4 linked regions of the Nothobranchius furzeri genome follow. Each later gene encodes a partner of the first gene's protein in a complex. Links are inferred from orthologs where the notes say so. Each region holds a gene or a part of one and is shown in the gene's direction. Other genes may lie near its edges.

What was found. The genes of interacting proteins can lie anywhere in the genome.
Region 2: the proteins of rev1 (region 1) and polk are in contact, whole or in part, in an NMR structure (PDB 2LSI), measured with the Homo sapiens proteins. The link is inferred for Nothobranchius furzeri from reciprocal best matches to the Homo sapiens genes REV1 and POLK. Residues at the interface, in NP_057400.1 of Homo sapiens: Asn1158, Leu1159, Ala1160, Gly1161, Ala1162, Asp1167, Leu1171, Leu1172, Glu1174, Trp1175, Thr1178, Ile1179, Met1183, Glu1185, Asp1186, Gln1189, Val1190; in NP_001374042.1 of Homo sapiens: Lys564, Lys565, Ser566, Phe567, Phe568, Asp569, Lys571, Arg572, Arg575.
Region 3: the proteins of rev1 (region 1) and polh are in contact, whole or in part, in an NMR structure (PDB 2LSK), measured with the Homo sapiens proteins. The link is inferred for Nothobranchius furzeri from reciprocal best matches to the Homo sapiens genes REV1 and POLH. Residues at the interface, in NP_057400.1 of Homo sapiens: Asn1158, Leu1159, Ala1160, Gly1161, Leu1171, Leu1172, Trp1175, Ile1179, Asp1181, Pro1182, Met1183, Glu1185, Asp1186, Gln1189, Val1190; in NP_006493.1 of Homo sapiens: Thr528, Glu529, Pro530, Phe531, Phe532, Lys533, Lys535, Ser536, Leu539.
Region 4: the proteins of rev1 (region 1) and pold3 are in contact, whole or in part, in an NMR structure (PDB 2N1G), measured with the Homo sapiens proteins. The link is inferred for Nothobranchius furzeri from reciprocal best matches to the Homo sapiens genes REV1 and POLD3. Residues at the interface, in NP_057400.1 of Homo sapiens: Asn1158, Leu1159, Ala1160, Gly1161, Leu1171, Leu1172, Glu1174, Trp1175, Ile1179, Met1183, Glu1184, Glu1185, Asp1186, Gln1189, Val1190; in NP_006582.1 of Homo sapiens: Gly232, Asn233, Met234, Met235, Ser236, Asn237, Phe238, Phe239, Gly240, Ala242, Ala243, Met244.

What each region holds. Positions count from the first base shown.
Region 1 is NC_091754.1:26,368,423-26,372,322, reverse strand, and holds the end of rev1 (DNA repair protein REV1), read left to right. Parts: intron 1-21; coding exon 22-150; intron 151-230; coding exon 231-385; intron 386-456; coding exon 457-576; intron 577-650; coding exon 651-871; intron 872-949; coding exon 950-1,122; intron 1,123-1,192; coding exon 1,193-1,422; intron 1,423-1,507; coding exon 1,508-1,686; intron 1,687-1,876; coding exon 1,877-2,125; intron 2,126-2,228; coding exon 2,229-2,328; intron 2,329-2,411; coding exon 2,412-2,623; intron 2,624-2,697; coding exon 2,698-2,842; intron 2,843-2,934; coding exon 2,935-3,037; intron 3,038-3,125; coding exon 3,126-3,237; 3' UTR 3,238-3,400; downstream 3,401-3,900. UniProt on the Homo sapiens protein: Deoxycytidyl transferase involved in DNA repair. Transfers a dCMP residue from dCTP to the 3'-end of a DNA primer in a template-dependent reaction.
Region 2 is NC_091757.1:44,354,114-44,357,016, reverse strand, and holds the end of polk (DNA polymerase kappa), read left to right. Parts: coding exon 1-414; intron 415-899; coding exon 900-948; intron 949-1,061; coding exon 1,062-1,143; 3' UTR 1,144-2,398; downstream 2,399-2,903. Other genes in the region: ankdd1b (ankyrin repeat and death domain-containing protein 1B), read left to right, coding at 2,717-2,882. UniProt on the Homo sapiens protein: DNA polymerase specifically involved in DNA repair. Plays an important role in translesion synthesis, where the normal high-fidelity DNA polymerases cannot proceed and DNA synthesis stalls.
Region 3 is NC_091752.1:33,815,975-33,818,624, forward strand, and holds the end of polh (DNA polymerase eta), read left to right. Parts: coding exon 1-32; intron 33-271; coding exon 272-395; intron 396-559; coding exon 560-625; intron 626-739; coding exon 740-912; intron 913-999; coding exon 1,000-1,870; 3' UTR 1,871-2,145; downstream 2,146-2,650. UniProt on the Homo sapiens protein: DNA polymerase specifically involved in the DNA repair by translesion synthesis (TLS). Due to low processivity on both damaged and normal DNA, cooperates with the heterotetrameric (REV3L, REV7, POLD2 and POLD3) POLZ complex for complete bypass of DNA lesions.
Region 4 is NC_091751.1:39,609,110-39,611,880, reverse strand, and holds the end of pold3 (DNA polymerase delta subunit 3), read left to right. Parts: intron 1-831; coding exon 832-967; intron 968-1,082; coding exon 1,083-1,186; intron 1,187-1,320; coding exon 1,321-1,400; intron 1,401-1,487; coding exon 1,488-1,566; intron 1,567-1,916; coding exon 1,917-2,119; 3' UTR 2,120-2,266; downstream 2,267-2,771. UniProt on the Homo sapiens protein: Accessory component of both the DNA polymerase delta complex and the DNA polymerase zeta complex.

The sequences.
Region 1 (3,900 bases):
TATGTGTTTTCGCCATCCCAGGCAGGTGGGAGTGAGGAACGGGATGTTTTTTGGCAAAGCGAAGCAGCTGTGCCCCTCGTTGCAGGCTGTTTCTTATGACTTTGAGGCTTATAGAGAGGTGGCTCTAAACATGTATGAGATCCTAGCGAGGTAAGAAAGCTGAAATCCTTCAAATCATCACTTTGTTTTTTGTTTGTTTGTTATTGACTTGATAACTTCATGAAATGCAGTTACACTCGTGACATAGAGGCTCTGAGCTGTGACGAGGCGTTGGTAGACGCTTCTGCTCTGCTCGCTGAGGTAGGAGTCGGCCCGGAGGATTTGGCCAGAGCCATCAGAGCAGACATCGAGAAGAAAACAGGATGCTGTGCTTCAGTGGGGATGGGTGAGCCAGGGTTCTTCCTCTAGAATATTTTGTATATTTAGTTGTATTTAATCAAACTGTGATCTGTTCAGGGTCTAACATTCTTTTGGCTCGGCTGGCGACCCGTAAGGCCAAACCCAATGGGCAGTACTTCCTTAAATCTGAAGAAGTGGACGATTTTATCAGGGATCTACCAGTTACCAGTTTACCAGGTTAACGTTTCATCCGGCTCACGAGTACTAACCTGTTAGCATTTGTGAAGTAGTTAACAGTTGCTGTTTTCTAGGGGTTGGTCGTGCTATGGCTAAAAAACTTGCCGGTATGGAGGTGACGTCATGTGGGGACCTCCAGCACGTTACTCTGTCTCAGCTGCAGAAAAGGTTTGGACCGCGTACCGGACAAACCCTGTTCCGGTTCTGCAGGGGCTTGGACGACCGGCCTGTTCGCTTTGAGAAGGAGAGAAAATCGGTGTCGGCTGAGATGAACTACAACATTCGTTTCACCACGGTTGGTCCTGCTCTTCTGCTTTGCTCTTCGTTTCGTAACAGCCGTCATTTCTAAATGTGCAGCTTTAAAACTCACCAGGTTGATGAGACGGAAAGTTTCCTGACCAGTTTATCCACGGAAGTGCAACGGCGTTTACAAGAAGCGGGGCTACGCGGTCGGAGAGTCACGCTTAAGGTCATGGTTCGTAAAGCAGGAGCGCCGCTGGAGCCGGCTAAATATGGAGGCCACGGCATTTGTGATAATCTGGCAAAGTGAGAAAGATCTGCATCAGCCCGCCTGTGGGTTTTTGTGCTTTTCTTGACTCGTTTTACTTCTCACCAGGACTGTGATGCTCGCTCAGTCCACCGACAGCGGTCAGCTGATCGCCTCTGCCGTTATCAAGCTGTTCCATGCCATGAAGCTGCAGGTTCAGGACTTGAGAGGAGTTGGGATTCAGGTTCAGCTTCTTGAAGGAAATCAGTCTGTTGCACGGGACTCCCGGGTTCCTCAGTCGCACTCCATCAAAGACTTGCTGTTAGGGCCGGGTCCGAGTGCCAAACCTGGTAACAAAGGTTAGTTTGGTCTGTGATGTTTAGTTTTTGCCACCGTAGTCTAGAGTCCTGAATATGTTTTGGTTAATTGGTCCAAATCCTGCAGACGCTCTCCAGGATCAGCCTTCCCGTTCGTCCGCTCCCTCACGAGGCTCTCCACCAAATCTTCGGGCATCACCTGAGCCAGTTCCAGGAACAAGCAAAGACTTTCCAGGTTGCAGGCAAACACCAAAACATTCTCACTCACATCTCAACGTCAGTATCGAAGTCCCGTCGCCGTCGCAGGTAAAGAGGATCTGATGATGCAGAAGAACTGATCAGAAACAGATGTTTTCTCTCTCCTCCCTTTCTCTGTAGCTGCTATTTTATCTTCCAAAAAACATTATTTTTTACACTTTATTTTCTTTTGAAAGTTTCCCAAGGTGTCCATAATCTATCTCATAAGCTTCATATGTGTTTCTGAATACTTCTTAAGGTGGACCGTTCTGTCTTGGAGGCCCTTCCAGCAGAGCTGAGGGAGCAGGTGGAGCGGTCGTGGAGTAGGAGAGACGACAGACCAAATAACTGCCATCCAGCTGATCTGCAGCCCTCCTCACCTAATCCTCGTTCAACGTCCCCTCCTCATCCTGCACTTTACTCTCCACCCGCTGGAACGTTGCTTCTGCAGATTCCAAACCAGCCCGACAGTCCGGGAATTGTACTGGAACTACCAAACTTCTCACAGGTTCAAGCGCAGCTGTTTTGTGAACTAGACCCGGATAGAAGAACCGTATGCGTGAATAGTGACCTTAAACGGTCTTTAGCAGATTTCCTTTTTCTGACTGCAGGTTGATCCTGATGTTTTCGCTGCACTTCCCAAAGAGCTCCAGGAGGAGCTGAAGTCTGCTTACCACCGAGCTGCAAACCTCCCCCCCCAGGTGAATGCAGGTGAGTTGACTCCAGAACACCTTTGAGTTTTGCCTGCATGCTTTTTGTCATCCTGACCCACGTTGTTGGACCCTTTGGTTCAGCTGCAGTGGAGCAGAAGAATCCACTGTTGCAGCTAAAGCAGCCAGGGCCAGGAACCGGCGTCGGTCCGGCCAAGCGGCGCTACAAGAGGAAGAATGTAGTCAGTCCGGTCAAAAAAGGGACTTCGCCTGTAAAGAGGCAGCAGGGGACCCACAGTCCAACCAAAACCGCATCCCGTCCTGTAAGATCACAAGAACTAATGAATGTACCAAAGGTGAGTCTAATGTGAAAGATCAAGTTGGTTTTATTTGTTTTCTGTTTGAACTCATGCACGTTTCTCATTCTCAGACTGAAAATGAGCCCTCAACCTCAAAGCAGGACATCCCAGCACCTGTGACTGATCCGGTTCCTCGTCCTGTTCCTGCCCTGGCTGGAGCCTGTGAGCTGACAGATATTAAAACACTCCTGCGAGAATGGGTCACCACAACAACAGGTACAGATGTTTTAAGTGACGACTCGTGTATTTTTAAATAGCAAAAATAGGTTGTTTCATTTTTTTTATAAGGAGGTCTTGCTTTCAATTAGATCCAAAGGAGGAGGACATTCTGCACGTGGTGAAGTACTGCACTGATTTAGTTGAAGACAAAGATCTGGAGAGGTTGGATTTGGTGATAAAATGTATGAAAAGGTCAGTTCTGCTCAGTGTCGCCTTTTCTGTTCATCTTCTTGTTTTTAAATATGTTTTCTACATTTAGCGCTGAAATGTTTTCCTGCAGGCTCATGCAGCAGTCCGTGGAGTCCATCTGGAGCACGGCGTTTGACTTCATCCTGGACATCGTGCAGGTTGTAGTGCAGCAAGCGTATGGTAGCATCCTGAAGATAACGTAAAGACAACCTTCTGGGTGTGGTTGTTACACCACCTACTTTCCCCCCGTTTTGCAAACTCATCCATCCAACAAAGTGAGATTTAAATTTTTTATTAATTTGTTCTCAACTGTAGATAATGGCTTACAATAATCACATGATAAATACAGGCAGTGAGAGATAGAGCCATTACAACAAAATAAAACCATGCATTTTTGTACTTTTTTCATTTGCAAGCAATTCAATGTACAGGGCAATAAAGGTTCTCAGTGCTTTTTCACCATAGCCCAACTTTAAGGAAGACTTAGTATTTCTTTTCATATTTCTGTTTACTTTTATACAGGCTTTCATATTCTTGGTGATTTGCTAATGGAGTTCACTCCTTTTTGATGCACATATTAGTTGTAAAATACAGTTGATCTTGTTTAAATTTGAAACAACTATCAGTTAAAAAGTCTGTTTCTCTGGTAGCACTCCTCAGGCATCATGCATCAAAACAACCTCAGAAATAGTCAGACAAAAAGACAATATTCATTCGTTCTTTTGGTGCTCTAGCACCTACCTGTGAATTTTCTGCAGCTGCTGCATACAGCTGCATCTTTTTCCTCTTTCGAAAAAGTGCCAAACTTTGTTATAAAGTGTAAATAATGTTTTTAAAAGGTCTTTGTGAAGCGTTTTAAAGAGAGC
Region 2 (2,903 bases), on another chromosome or scaffold:
TAGACAGCTGTCTCAGCGAGGCTGCAGGAAAGCCCAACAGAGTTTCAGGCGCAGAGTTCGACCTGGAGACTGAACATCAAAAAAGCAAGACGGTGCACAAACAGAGCAGAGAGGTCGAAGAGCTGCCAGTAAACGGCGAGGAGTTGAGCAGAAGCGTTCCTCAGGAAGACAGCCCCAAGAACAATTCCGTTCCAAAGGTTTTGCTGAGTGAACACGAGCAGAAACCCGTCACCTTGCAGGGGCATCAGTCAGGTCCGGTTCTTATCTGCCCCGTGTGCTACTTGACCCAAGAAACGGATGACCTCACCATCTTCAACCGGCACGTTGACCTCTGCCTGAACCAAGAGGTCCTGCATGAGCTCAGAGGTCAGACGACATTATCCATAAAACCCTCTGTGGGTAAAAATAGCAAAGGTAAGCGTGTGTTTATTCTCCACCAGAACCAGCGATATTGGACTTGTAATGTTTAAGAAAACACAAAAAAAGAGCAGGTGTGTCTTTTTTTCTGCACAGCATCGTTAAAAATTGTCCATAAACTGTAGGTGTTTGATTTCTTCGGAATGAATTGACGTATTATCTATTTCGAGGGTTGTCGGTGACCTATGACCCCGTTGTTTACTGACTGTGACATTGTATGAGGAGTTTGTATTGATTCAGACAGCAAGCAGACATCTCATTTCACCCCCTCTGACCCGGTTTGGGAAATGGCTAAATCACTTTCTCACCTATTTGCTTTCCTACAATCACCCAAAGCCTGGTTTTCTCTTAAACCAACTCACTTTTGGAATTGCTGTCTTTATGTTGCTGAAAGATCAGAAACATCTGTGTTCCTCCTCGGGAAATGTCTAATTCTTTTTTGGGGATGGAGAAAGGAGTTTATTTTTTCTTTTTGTTTTTAGACAGTGGACTCCATCTGCAAAGACACGCCAGTAAAAGTAAAAACAAAAGGTGAGACGGGTCGATTATTGCTTTAAAAACAAGGCGTTTCTACATTTTCATATTTTTCTGTAGTAATAAATACAATTTTTACTAATAATGTTTCATTGGTGTGTATTTCTCAGAACTGACACGCCTTCCTTTCCCCCGTCTAAAAAACCCAAAAGCCTCGGAGTCTGCAACACCATCGATAAGTTCTTCAGGTGACGGTGACCCACGAACATCAGTCCACATCTGGATGAAGGCTGTTATTTATTGGAAGTGGAGCACTTGCACAAACCAAGATGGCAACTTGTTTATTTTAATTCTTGGAAAATATTTTTTTTTAAATTCCAGATTTTGTGGCTAAATGAGGCTAATGCCATTTTATTTATGTGTGCTTAACTAAACACAAGGATAAGTAAAACTTGCTTGTGATTTTACAGTTTATAATTGTTTTTAAATAATTTCATGTTATTTTTTAAATCTATATTGATATTTTTAATAATGAAGACTGCCCAAGTCAATATTTTGGTCAGGAAATTCCACGTGTGTTTTGATAAGATAAAAATCCACCTTTTTAGAACCTACTGCACACCTTTGTGGTGTAAGTATAGGAAAGCCAGCTTGCATAAGCTTAAAGTAGCCTACAACGATGCATTTAGGACTCTGCTAGGGAAGCCTCGGTCCTGTAGTGCAAGTCTTTTATTTTGTAATGCTCATGTCAGGACCTTCCAAGCCATAATGAGGAATTGGCTCTACAGGTTTATCTTGCGATTGAAGAACTCTTAAGAACAGACTTGTGCAGATGCTGGTTGATCCCCATTTTAGTGCAGTGCGTTACCAGTCATCCATGTGGAGACGCTGGTATGCATGTCTTTTATACAGGGTATCTGCTGGTCCTTAAAAAGTTTTAAAAAGTCTTAAATTTGCTTTTACAAATTTAAGGCCTTAAAAATCCTTAAAAATGACAAATAATCCTTAAATAGTTTCCAAAGGTCTTAAATTACCAAAGACCCAGTAAACAAGATTCTCTTATTTCTATAAAATTTTCGTGAATTTCTAGTTAGTGCAGCATTTTTTGTGTATGATGTTGGCGTAAGCGGAACCGTACACATTTGGTTGGTTGTGAAAGGGGCTATTTTTAGATGAGCATGCTAGTGGGAGTTTGCGCCATGGGAAGTGCAACATTAATGGTAACTAGATGGCTAATCCCATGTTCACGACGCGGTTAGCACCGGTTCCAGGCAATATGGAAATTATAGCTTAAATTTTATTATAAAAATAGCTTAAATTTGGTCAAAGTGGCCTTAAAAAGGTCTTAAAAAGTCTTAAATCTGGCTCCCTTAAACCTGCAGATACCCTGTTTATAATCTTTTGTATCATTTTTATGTCTCTTATAGTTAATGTGGACCTTGAGTCTGATAATAAAGTTGAATTGAATTGAATTGTAATAAATGTTTGAATTCTCTCTTTTGGAGAATATGTTCTTTGTTTGTGAATTGGTGGTTTCAGATTGAAAGAAAGAAAATAAAACCCCAGTCAGCCGACAAGTTAAACTTCTACTAGAGCGCTGCGCTAATCTTCCTAAATCTTCCACCTCCATCAAAAAAGTCAACAATATAAACCGGAGCTATCCCTCCTTCTTTCCATATACACTCTTTTATGGGTGTGAGTTGGTAAAGTAAACATTCAGCCTTCAGAAGCTAGCCCGTCGCTTCATTTATATGTTAGAAGGTTCTCAACAGAAGCTGTGAAACAGCAGAAATAGGATTTTTAAAGAGAAGTTAACATCTTCCTTATGGAAAAAAGAGTTGTAGCTTTGAAGACTTTGATCAAGGAGAAGAAGAACACTCTGGATCCTCAAAGATGGGTACAAACAGAAACTATCAGAGGGTTTGCTGACTTTATTCATAAGAAGCAAACAGACAAAGAGACCGACGACAGCTTCGACAGCAAAGAGATGTGTGAGTATGAAACAAAAATAC
Region 3 (2,650 bases), on another chromosome or scaffold:
GAACTGGGGCAGCACTTTGGAGAAAAAACGGGGTGAGAAAATGCAGTTTCACAGGATTACTGGCGAATAAAAGGTCTACTTGTAGGACAGTTCGAGACTAGATTTAGAGATTTGGGACTTTGGGGTGTGAAAATAAAACATAATTCAAATAACCATTTTAAGTTTTCTGACAGTCTGGTTGACATTTTTCACACAGAATTGTATTTATTTGAAATGGACCTTAACTGCTGACATGTTTTTTAAATTCTCTATGACCAACATAACGCTGCAGCCAGTGGCTGTTTGACCTGTGTCGGGGGATCGAGTTTGAACCTGTGAAACCCAGACAGCTTCCCAAGTCCATTGGCTGCAGTAAAAACTTTCCCGGGAGGACGTCACTGGCTACTAAGGATCAGGTACAGGACTGTCAAAAGTATTTCAACATAATCTGTTACTCTCTGAAAGGTTTATGCCTCTGACGTGGGGGGAAAAGACACCAGAACTATGAGAAATGTCATTATTTAGTTCCATTTATTATTTGCAAAGATTGTCCTGATGCTGAAATCAAACCTCCGTGTAGGTGCAGTACTGGCTTCATCAGCTGGCCCTGGAGTTGGAGGAGAGGCTGGCCAAAGACAAAGAAGTGGTGAGAATTATTTAAATGTAATCGCTTTTTTTCATTACAGCTTGGCTCGTTGTGTCCTCGTATTCCTGTAGCACGCCACTAGTCTCACACCCGTGTTTTCTGGCTGCACTACAGAATAATCGTGTGGCAAAGCAGCTGACGGTTGGCGTGCGTCAGCTTGGCGATAAGCGGCCGACCGGCTTCTCTCGATGCTGTGCTTTAGCACGCTACGAGGCGACCAAAATATCAAGTGACAGCTTTGCTCTGATCAAGAGTCTCAACAAAGCAGGAAACCACCAGGCTGCGTGGTAATTAAAGAGCGATGACGTAAAAGGCTGATGTATGTTTTGAGGGAATGCTGCATGATTTAGATCATGTGTCTGACATGTTTCCAGGTCTCCCCCCCTCACCCTGCTACACATCTCTGCTAGTAAATTCAGTGATGCTCCGTCTGCTGGGGGGATTGCTGGATTTCTGTCCAGTGAAGGAACTTCAACCCAGACTCTGTTCTCCTCCACCCAGCCATCCTGTGACGTAAAAACAGAGCCTCCATGTAGTCAGCATGGTACCATTCAGTCCTTCTTTCAAAAAGCAGCTGGAAAACAAAAGCAAGTTAAAAGCGACACAGAAGAGGAAGTTCTCCCGCCTTTTGTTGGCGATCAATCTGACACCGATTGCCAGCTGGAGATGGCAAGTGACTCACAAAAATCTCCTTTCAAAAGTGTCTCCCACTCTAAAACTGACTCTTCTAGCTCCCATCCTGGCATCTCCTCTTTCTTTCATAGGAAGAGTCTTGAAAAAAGCTCTAACGTGTCTTCAGGTCACAATGATGCATGTGCCGGTAGAGGCACTGATGCTTTTGCATCTGGCCAGCAGTTAAAAATGATCCCAGAGTTAATACCAACACAGTCACAGGAAGAAGAGGTAAGGGAGGAACCGGAAAGCCATCTGGACAGTACTTCTAGTGCGCTAGGAGGAGACCTTTTAAAGTGTGAACGTTGTGGTGTAGAGGTTCTGGTGTGGGAAATGCCTGAGCATCGTGACTATCACTTCGCCCTGGACCTCCAGAATTCACTGTCTTCATCTACAAATTCAGGAAGCTTGCCTCCAAATCTAACCGTCTCATCTTCCTCCAGTGGTTCTCCATCTGCTCGGTCGTCCCGAGGCAAAACAAAAACCAGAGGTCAGTCAGGTCCTGCACCAAAGAGACAACGCTCACTAGGGGGCAGTGTGGGTACTCTAGATGCTTTCTTCAAAAAGAACTAAACATTTAGGGCATGAGTATTTATTTCTGAACATTGTGTATATATATATTTACACACACACACACACACACACACAAAGATGTTTTTATATTATCTTTACCAGAGGAAAGCCAGACAACCAGAATACAACAAGACTTGTTTTGAATCAGTTGTTTTTGTGCTTCATGAGGATATTAACATGTGTATTTTGGGTCCTATTTTTAATTTAAAAGGGCATTTCTAGTTGTTGAGCTTTATTTTGTAAACCTGTACAGATAAAAAATATTTTCAACTTCATGCAGAGAGTGTGTTGTAGTGTTCTGGCGTAACAGCAGATGGCAGTAGTGTGCAGACGAGTGTGGTTCAGGAGTCGGTGTGAATCTTGATTACAAATTCAAGACGCAGTTAGTCTTTGAGATAACTTGTAAAGTCAAATTAAATGAGTCATTCCTACACGGTCCTTGGACAATTAGTTGATCAGTTCTTCTAAATGTAAAAGGCAGCTGCCCAAACACCACCAATCCCCCCCTAAATCCTCCAAAAGCAGTAAGGGAATCAATCCTAAAGCTCCAATCTGGTGTCATCAATTCTGACATTAAGTCAAATTAAAAAGTACAAAACACCTTTGCAGAAAGAAAGTTTTAGTTTGATTTCAGTCTCTAGAAACACACCATGCAATGTATTGGAAAGACCACGTATGTTTCATCTCAGAGGAGATGGACCTGCGGTGTTTTTAGGGACAAAAATTTAAGTTTTAGATCATTAAGAGGAAACGACACAAAACTACAATTTACCAGCTTTA
Region 4 (2,771 bases), on another chromosome or scaffold:
TAAACACTGTTAAACCTTTTCAAAACTATTTCAGTTTGTGTAGAACAGGACTATCAATGCTTTCTGAACATATGCAACACCGTTTAAAAAATACCGCGATAATACCGAAAACCGTGATAATTTTGGTCACAATAACCGTGAGGTTAAATTTTCATACCGTGACAACCCTAATCCGATATAAGCAGTTCGATAAGGTTCACATTTTTGCAAACAATGGTTAAGAAAAAATTGTCATTTTTTTTTTCATACTTACTGTTGCTGGCTCTTGTTCTCGGATTGAGTAATATCACTTGATCAAGCCTTTCATTCTTTCCACACTACGACATAAGTCAAAGTATGTATGTATGATTTGTGCTGGTATCGTATCAGATTGATATCGGTATATTTATATGTTTATAGATATTTATATTTTAACAGTAATGTTGACAGATTGTTGTTTAAGGATAAAATGGCCTTTTAACTCATACTTTTCATCTGTTTTTAAACATTTTTCATTTGTTTTAAATCTAAAAAGGGCCACAAATTTCAGATTTTATTATCTTAAAACAACAAAGTAGTTCTTTTTTTTTCCCAAATAACCAACAAGATGTTTCATCTTAACTGTAACTCTTCTCTTTTGTGGGGTCGTTTTGTGTGTATTAACATGTTTCCACATAGTTGTTCATGTATAGCAGCACAAGTACACAGAAAAAATATCAAATAGCATTTATTCCAATTTATAGTTGTCATAATGAACACAAGAGCAAAGCAAATATTCACTCCCCAACCTTTAGTTGTCTTAATAATATAAAAGTACTCAATATTGGTGAGAATATTATTTTTTGTCTTCAGAGAAACCCGACAAACCTCTAAAGGAGGTTCAGTCATCTGCTGCGGTAGGGCAGAGGGGTCAAAGTTCACCTCCAGTAGAAAAACAAGAACCTGCAGCCGTTGAGCCACAAAAAGACACGAAGACGGATTCCAGGAGGTTTGTGTTCAAAACCAGGAGGGAAAAGGGAACGACTTCAGGAGAGGACTCGTTTGTTTTATAGACCACGAAAGGTGTTTTAGTGAAAGATGACTTTTTTTTTCTTTTATTACAGCAAAAGTAAACGAATCGAAGCATCTGATAGTGAGGAAGAGAAAATGGAAAAAAAAAAGAGGCGACGAATCAAGAGACCCGAACCAGACAGCAGCGATGAAGACGGTTCGTTTCAGAAACATCACTGGCTGGAGAGCAGTAGTTCTGAGAGTTTTGTTGTTTTGGTGTCCCTGATTGTAAATATTAGATCTAATTAATTTTTGAAGTCCTTGAAAAAATAATTTTCTTTTTTCTTCCAGTTATTCCAGATTCTCCACAGCCGCTGGAAACAAGAGAGCCAAGTCCTCTTAAGAAGGAAGCGACTGTTCAACTTTCACAGGTGTGTTGAAGTTTAAATAAGCATCACATATTTAGTAAACATCACTTCATTCATTCATTCATTTAATGATGTTTGGTTTTATTTTAGGGGAATTCTGAGACGAAAATAAGGAAGAGGAGACGCGTCCTGAAGCCTCGCGTGTTTCTGGATGAAGAGGGATGCATGGGTATCTGCATTTTTATTAACGCTGTTAGTCCTGCAGCAATCTTTTAATTAGTTTGGTCGAATATGTAAAAAAAACGAGACTATTATTACGACCTTTGAGTTTTAAAATAAGCTCCTATGCTGGTGTCCTAGAAATGTGCAAATGTTGAAAAACATCTTTTTCTGATTTGTTTTCACACAAAAGAAATCTGGCACTTCCTTTTTAAAAATGAAATAATATTTTCATTTATGAACCAAGCAGTTAAATAAACCTTAAAGTTTATTAAAAGTATTTAAAAGCGTAACCAAAGCCAGCAGTAGGTCAGGGCGGGCGTTTTTGCGTTGATGTAACTGGGTTTTGTTTCTCCTCAGTGACAGAAAAAGAATACGTAAGTGAATCTTATTCTGAGACCGAGGATGACGTTCCAGCTCCCAAAAACGCTCCAAGAGACGCTAAAGCCAAACTTCCATCGAGCAGCAAAGAGGAAGTGAAGAAGAGTCAGAAGAAGTCTTCATCGAGCTCACATAAAGGAACCAAGCAGGCTTCCATCACGGGCTTCTTCCAGAAGAAATGACACCAGATCATGTTGGACATTTCTGTTTGATGACTTTTTGACACAACTGACTCCTTATTTACACACACACACACACACACACAGTTTTTTGCTTTTGTCCAGTCCTCAGCTGTGAATTATTGTCTTTTTAATAAATAATAAATCTGAGAGAGAGAATTTTTCTTGTAAATGGTTTAGTTAGACCTGCTTGTTTTAACTCTTAGAAATCGTAAAGCTGCAGACGGGAAATGTAGCTTGGTGCAACATTTGGAGAAAAAGGCTTCAAATATTTAAGAATTAAACCTCTGGAACAGAACCTGATGGAACACAATCCACATGAAGACTACAGATGTCTTCAGATGAATCTCTCCTGGATTTCAGTCGTTGACGTCTGTCTGGGTCTTCTGTGCGATAAACGACCACATCGGGGGGGGGGGGGGGGGGGGGGCTCTACTGCCCGCTCTCCCCTCTCCGACGATGCAGTCCCATGCGTGGTCCAGCGTGTAAACTCCGTCGTCCCTGTTCATGGTCCCACATCCACGTCTCATTATCTCGATTGCTTCCTTGATCCATCTTTTGTATTTTTGTTGTTCGGTGGTTATGATCCGTGTGTTGTCCCAGTCCATTATATGGTTTTCTCTTAAGCAATGATCTGTTACGGCTGACTTTTTTA